Arabidopsis thaliana: one gene and its partner. The protein of the gene in region 1 interacts with the protein of each later gene in a pairwise test. Each region holds a gene or a part of one and is shown in the gene's direction. Other genes may lie near its edges.

Region 1 (3,755 bases):
TATGGATGCGACTATTGAGCAACTTTATGAAACATTTAAAAGTTTTGGAGCTATTAGAAAGGATGGTATCCAAGTCAGAAGTTACCCGGTTAGTTATTCTTTCAATGATCTACAAAAAAATTATTTGCAAAGTTTGAAAAACCTTATAACTGGTTCAATCACACGCTTAAAAATCTGTGAATTTTCAGGAAAAAAAGAACTGTATTGGGTTTGTGGCATTCGAAAATGGTGAAGCAGTAAAAAATGTCTTTCAGGTATGTTTTTGTTTGCATATCAAACTCTCGGCTATAATGTAATTTGAAGTTCTTGTTATCTGATCTCCAAATGCACAACTCTAGGCTCACAGGGAATCACCAATCAGAATCGGAAACCGAAGAGCATCTATAGAAGAAAAGCGAGGCAAGTTTCTGAAAGGCATTGTTGTCTCAAAGATTGTAACTTTAATTAAATGTAAAAACAAAATCCTAATCTTACTTTTTCTGGATTATGCAGGAGGTAACAATCAAAATGGCAACAGAGTCTCTACAAGAAACAACAGTGGTTATAAAAATGAGGATGGTTTCAGACGTGATGGATACAAACCTAGGGGCAGTGGCGTCAATGGAGGACGAGGCTATGGGAGACGGAACAGTGAGTCTAATGGGGATGGTAAAGCATACCAGAACAATGGCCATGGCAATACTGAGGCCAAAAACTAGATTAGTTTTTTCTTCTTCTAAGCTTTGCTCATGGTTGAGAATCTGAGGTTGTAGGCGATGTTAAAACAAATTTTTGTTTCCGTGGATATCTTAGGTGTTGATCTTTTCGATTTGTGATATTGTTTGGGGATAAATCTAGAACATTTTTCTTCACTCTTTGATCTCTGTATCTTCTCATGAACAAAGCAGAGAACAAAATCGAATTGATTTAAGGTTCTAATGACCTACATACTTTCTTTACAGGAGATAAACTCCACAACTTTTGTTTTTGTCTAATCAAACATCAAAACAGAATCAAGAACAAGAAGAACAACACCACGGACATTGAGGAAAACATGAGAAGCACCTACACATTGACTGCTTCTGATTTGTTGCATCTGCTACTGGTTTTTGTGACTCTTGTGACTGATTTGCTTGTTCCTTCTGTTTCTCCGTTTCTACCTTTCTTGAATCACTTGCAGCTCCAGCCAAACTGTAAAAACCAAAAAAGCAAAGCAAGAAACTTTCATTAAAACCGAGGGGAGGAAATGTTTGTCAGCCATGGTCATGGATGGAGTGTATTTACATTGGGAAAGAGAAGGAGTGCGCGCTGTTTGAGCTTCGGTTAGAACGGTAAGAAGTTGTAGGAGTTTTCCAAGAAACAGCAGGATGTTGTTCTTTCTCATGGCTTTCTCTTTTCCCTTCTTCTTCATCTGATGATGATGTATGTGTTTCTTCTACTAGTACAACTTTCTCTTCCTTATCTGATTCAACAACTTTCGGTTCTTCGACTACGGGTTTTGGTTCCGATCCTGGTACAGGCGGCATAGGAAGTCCAGGACTATACGCAAGTAACTCACCGGATTTATAAAGTTCACCTGATTTCATCAAATCACCACCATAACCAGTGAAACTATTGTTTCCTAAATGAATACTGAAGAGAGATTCATTCGAAGTGCAGCTCCATTCAGCTGGCACATTCGATTTGCTTCTCTCGAAAACCGAAGATGGAATCCTATTCGGGTCATATTTTCCGTTGTTATCTCTATCCATTACTTGAACAGGTGGTGAAGAAATCTCCGGATCATTCAATGATTCTTTTAGTACCTCTTCAGGTAGATCTTTCGGTGGCGATAAATACGAAGAAGAAGAAGACGAAGATGACGAAGACGACGATAATCTTGAATGTGATTCTGAGTTAATAATTACAGTTTCTGTTTCTTGTAAAGGTATCGTTTTATGCTCAACATCTCCATTTTCGTCGTCTAATGAACCTTTTTTGTTTACATCTTGATCATGTTTTTGTTTGGATAACACATGTTCTTCATGTTTAGACTCCATAAACACCTGGAGAAGCAATCATCAATGCATCATTTTAAGCAATTTCTCGGGCTATTCGAACAAATATAACATCAAAAAACATACCTTGAAATCGATTTGACCAGAGCCTGATGAGTGAAGTTGTGAAATTTCGTTTCTTTTTCTTGCTAGAGAGAATGAAGGAAGAAAGAAAAAAATTAAGATGAGGAAAAGGGGATCTAGGGTTTGGTTCGTTGTCTGGAGATAAACAGAACGAAAGGTATCTCGTAAAGTTCGGAACTTTAACTAACAAAACCATGGCTGCATTTCGCGCCATGTCTTCTTATCTGTTCTGTTTTATAAATGATCCTCTGTGTTACGGTCTATTTAAGAAACCGTGTTCTATCCAATAGATAAACGCCTTGACTTTTAACACGTGGCTTCAGATACTAGAACAAAAAAAAAAGCATCATTGTTCATCTTCTTCCTCTTCTGTTTACTGTTTGGGGAAAGTGAAAGCTTGTAAACGAAAGGTAACGTTTTTATGGAATCTAGGGTTTGTATTTCCCTTTACTGTAACATGGTCTTTGAAAGTTTCTTCCTTTTTAGGATTCTTTGCTTTTTTCGGGTATGTATTTGGAATTGGATATGGATACTGTAGACCTAATTGATCGGTGTGATTTGTATTGGATAGTTTTAACGGATCGAATTCTTAGAATTAAGATACTGAATCTGAGAATTGGATCTTCTTTAACTGCAAATTTTGTGACTTTTCTTCGTTTTAGTGTCTTAAGAACTTAAACACGAAGTTATTCTTGATAATTTGATGCAGCTTCCACCATTTAGAAAAGTATTGTCTTTTGTTCTGTGAATTTCTCAGGTTCGTTGGTTCTTCAAGAGAGATCATATGAAGAAATTGAATTTGAGTTTCATGTCAAATTTTGTTGTTTTCAGGTTGTAAACTGTGGCCAAAGGTTTACTTGGACTCCTTCTGTTTCACTGGAAACTGTTCATTTGAATGGTGAGAGTTTGATTCTGATGCATTAGTAAATTGTAAGGAAGAGAGGATTGAGCAAACATGGGAGAACAACTAGATCCATTTTCCGCTTCTAATCTTCCGGATTTCATATCTTCTCAAAAAATTGGTAGACCGGTTAATTTCGAAGGACAAACTAACCGTGGGCATCCTTTTTCTGGTCTTAAGAAGAGAGGTCAATCTAGTCGTTCTTGGGTGAAAATTGATCAAGATGGGAACTCTGCGGTTTTGGAGCTCGACAAGGCGACTATAATGAAGCGTTGTTCCTTACCATCCAGGGATTTGAGACTCCTTGACCCTTTGTTTATCTATCCCTCGAGTATTTTGGGGCGTGAGAGAGCGATAGTTGTCAGTCTTGAGAAGATCAGGTGTATTATCACAGCTGAAGAGGTCATTCTCATGAATGCTCGAGATGCATCTGTTGTTCAGTACCAGTCGGAACTGTGTAAACGCCTTCAATCAAACCACAACCTAAATGTTAAAGGTCAGTGGTTTTGGTATAGCTTTGGTGGTCTGGAGTTATGATATAGATTAGATTGCTGATGAAACTGTTATATGTGTTTGGTTTTAGATGATTTGCCATTTGAATTTAAAGCGTTGGAGCTGGTTTTGGAACTATCTTGCTTGTCTTTAGATGCACAGGTATGCCACATTCTCTTCATCATTCTTCTATATGATTTATTGCATGACTTTAAGCTAATTGTTAAGCTCAAAAGTTTTGGTGAACGTGATTTTTAGGTGAA
Region 2 (3,755 bases), on another chromosome or scaffold:
TTTACAGACTCACGAAAAATGATCTATGATTTCATCTAGTGAAAGATAAATGGATTAATCAGTTTGTATAACATCTTAATTTCGTTTTTTTTTTTCATTTCGTTAGTGTCTATTGTCTAAATTTCGATAATTCAGTTTTCATTTGATTACTATACTCAAACAAAATACCTAGCGTAAATTGCTTTGTTAGACCATATTTAGCAACAAAATCTAATAAAGTATTGATCTTTGAGTCTAGGTTTCCACAGTTCACCACGCAATACTCACCTTTCTTTATACACTTTACAAAGATAATGAGTAATCGTTAAATAATCCAAAGAATTTACTCATCCATGTACACATAGTTTATACTTAATCCTCTTAGCAAGAAATTATGGCGTCTAAGAATCGATTTAGATGAAAAACGGACCAACTAAGCAAACTAGAATATATGTTCACTTCACGACAACTTTGTATATAATTATACACAAAACAATATACATTCATTTTGTATGATATACAACAAATCTTTTGAAAATACTACACTCTTTTCTTTAATGTATTTTTAGGCTAATGTTGAAATATTCTTGTATTTATATTATGAAATTTGAATTAGACCGGATCAAACCGGATCCACGTTATCTTGATTTTAAAATGAAGAACTCCAAATAAATCTAGATTACAAACTGATTATCATTTGCTAAAAAGATCCTAAAGGTTATCATTTGAGATTCAGCAGGCGAACAACAAAAATTATTACTATATTCGTACGGTTCCATTCGATTTTTGTTCACTCATTTGTTGTTACTACACTTTACTACTCAAAATTTGTTACCCTCGTTTAGTCCGATTCGATGGTTCCTCATCGTTCATTGCGGTGAATTACTATGAAAGTACAAATTAAAAATAATCTGAAACATTGATGATAACAATGTAGCAATGTAGTCGTAACATGCCAACATCGAATTCTGGGCCAACTATATTTTGCTTTGGTAAGCGAACCATTCATTCAGTTTTTAATTATTATATCCAATTGTTTGACGCGTTTTAAATAAATCAATAACATAATCCATGTTCATACCAATTAAATATAGATATGTATGTACGTGTTGTCTTGTCTTATGAATCAACCCTCCTTGGAGAATCTTATGCCATAAAGCCAATAAAAAGTTACCTACTCTTTCAATTTACCTCGTTCGTTTAATCTGTTTTGATCAACACTCCCCATATTATCAAATCATTTAGGAAACGTATAAATGAAACGAAAATATATGTTTTAGTTACTCAACAATGTTATTAAGGGTCAGGCAACAAAAAAATCTTGAGGGGTAAAAACAAAGTTCTCGATTTAATAATTATAGACTATAGGTTTAAACAGAGACCCACAAATTCTGCATTTCTCACCTTCCAACTGTAACTTTAATATTTGTTTCAAATTGACACGGCGGGTAAAAATAATCAGGTGTATCCTCCCTCACACTAAGGCGAAACTAACATACTAATAAGGAAGAGACACGTGTAAAAAAGACCGGTCAAAGACGCTACGTAGATAAAAGTCACGAAGCTTGCTCGTTTTTAAAATTCAAAGAGGTTTCATCTCCGTATAAGTAGGCGACGAAGCATACCACGAAGATCGAAAAAAAACAAATCAGATTCTCAAATACTGAAAATAAAAAGAAGAAGAGAGAAATCTACGGTGGTGGGTGATTCGCCGGAGTTCAATTTCGTAGCTAGATTTCTCCTCCTTTTCCCCCCGACGAGCTGTGCGAGAGAGGGAGGGGAATCATGCAGAAACGGAGAACGGTGAAGGAATCTACGAAGATAAGAAATGGTAAAGGTATGGATTCCGGCGAAAAGAAGAGATCTGAGAAGAGATTGATGAAGTTCGAGGAGTTACCTAGGTATTTGAAAGATAACGAGTTCATACACAATCATTATCGATGTGAGTGGTCAATCAAAGAAACTTTCCTCAGCGCTTTCTCATGGCACAATGAGACTCTCAACATCTGGACGTATGTTTTCGTTTTCTTCTGATTTTTTTTTCCCTTGGTTGAAAATTTGTAAACGGGGTTTTGAAATTTGGCAGGCATTTGTGTGGATTTGCGATATTTACTTGGATGATGGTTGTGAGTTCAATGGAGACGACGGAGCTTGGCCTCGCCGGCTTTGTTAGCCTTCTCTCCGGGTAAGAAAAATCTCGAGGTCAAAATCGTCATTTTTTGTTTTGAGGAAAATTAAACAAATTTCAATCTTTTTGGGGGATTTGTGGGTCCTAATGACAGAGCAACAATTCGCTGGCCATGGCCGTCAATGGCAATGTCAAAAGATGTTTACTTCTCCAGCGATCAAACTCTGCATCACGTAAAGATTCTTCCTTTTTTATTCTGTGACATTGTTTATTCTAATTTAAGTAGTAGACATGCAACATAAGTGCTTTCAAATAACAAATCCCATTTTTGTTGTGTGCTGATTGCAATTAGCAGTAGTGCTAAATGGTAACTTTCACCCACCATGTCATGTTCTCTTTGGATTTTTTCTATCTTTCTGTTTTTAACTTTGGTTTTTATGGATACTTCAGTTTCTCTAGACTTGCTCTTTATGCTCACCTACTTTGAAATCACGTGATTTCCTACCGAAATTAAGGAACAAACTTTATGATTGGATTTGTTTAGTTTAGCATAAATCTTGTAACCTGCCCCAACTATTTGATGTTTCTCTCACTTTAGTTTTCTGTAGATTTTCTTTGTGCTCACCTAACTTTCCAACTAACATGATTTTTTCAACGGGTTTAAGAAAAGAAAGGCTGTTTTTTTGTCAACATAAACTTATGATTTGGTGGTGTCTACTGGCAGGACTTAAACGTGACACACACTCGCTCGCTCCTGAATTCTCAAGGAGATGTTAACTACGAAGCCATTCCGAAATGGCCATGGCTTGTGTTCTTGACCGGAGCAATGGGCTGCTTGATCTGCAGTTCCATGTCACACCTCTTCGCCTGTCACTCCAGACGGTTCAACCTCTTCTTCTGGCGTCTAGACTACGCTGGAATCTCCCTCATGATCGTCTGTTCATTCTTCGCACCTATCTACTATGCATTCTCATGCCACACTTACTGGCGACTCTTCTACCTCTCATCGATCTCAATCCTCGGTCTCCTCGCCATCTTCACTCTCCTCTCTCCATCACTCTCAGCTCCACGTTTCAGATCTTTCAGAGCAGCTCTGTTCCTAACAATGGGATTTTCTGGCGTAATACCAGCCACACATGTGCTTTACCTTCATAAGGATCACCCAAACGTGCTTATAGCTCTCGTATATGAACTTGCGATGGCTGTGTTGTATGCAACAGGAGCAGCGTTTTATGTTACCCGCATACCTGAAAGATGGAAGCCTGGGGCTTTTGATATTGCAGGACATAGCCATCAGATATTCCATGTGTTTGTAGTCTTAGGAGCTCTTGCTCATAGTGTTGCCAGTCTTCTTATCATGGATTTTCGACGGGCTTCTCCTTCTTGTGCCTTTTAACTCGAAAACACATTGTAAAACATTTAGTAATACTTCATTCAATGTATCAATGTATGTTTGTCCCCATAGAAGACGCAATGTACCATCCAAGATATTCAAAAGTAAACAAAAACTCAATTTCCTACAAGTATTGTTCAAGCTTCATGATACAAAGATCTAATCTAATTGATTCTTTCTGAAAGATAAAGCAGAGCTATATATAGAAGGAATCAAGGAACCTCTAATCAGTTGAATCATTGGAAAATGAAAGGG

Evidence for each region.
Region 2: the proteins of MGT3 (region 1) and HHP2 interact in a protein complementation assay, tested with the Arabidopsis thaliana proteins (one large-scale study listed by BioGRID).

The regions. Positions count from the first base shown.
Region 1 is NC_003071.7:1,101,468-1,105,222, reverse strand, and holds the start of MGT3 (magnesium transporter 3), read left to right. Parts: upstream 1-2,018; 5' UTR 2,019-2,256; intron 2,257-2,411; exon of another isoform or gene 2,412-2,509; intron 2,510-2,573; exon of another isoform or gene 2,574-2,930; 5' UTR 2,931-3,054; coding exon 3,055-3,496; intron 3,497-3,583; coding exon 3,584-3,654; intron 3,655-3,750; coding exon 3,751-3,755. Other genes in the region: AT2G03640 (Nuclear transport factor 2 (NTF2) family protein with RNA binding (RRM-RBD-RNP motifs) domain-containing protein), read left to right, coding at 1-88, 189-254, 339-698; AT2G03630 (suppressor SRP40-like protein), read right to left, coding at 993-1,170, 1,264-2,018. UniProt on the Arabidopsis thaliana protein: Magnesium transporter that may mediate the influx of magnesium.
Region 2 is NC_003075.7:15,020,288-15,024,042, reverse strand, and holds the start of HHP2 (heptahelical transmembrane protein2), read left to right. Parts: upstream 1-1,597; 5' UTR 1,598-1,764; coding exon 1,765-1,991; intron 1,992-2,065; coding exon 2,066-2,164; intron 2,165-2,261; coding exon 2,262-2,340; intron 2,341-2,831; coding exon 2,832-3,503; 3' UTR 3,504-3,604; exon of another isoform or gene 3,605-3,685; 3' UTR 3,686-3,723; coding exon of another isoform or gene 3,724-3,755. Other genes in the region: AT4G30845 (DNA-directed RNA polymerase subunit beta), read right to left, coding at 3,724-3,755.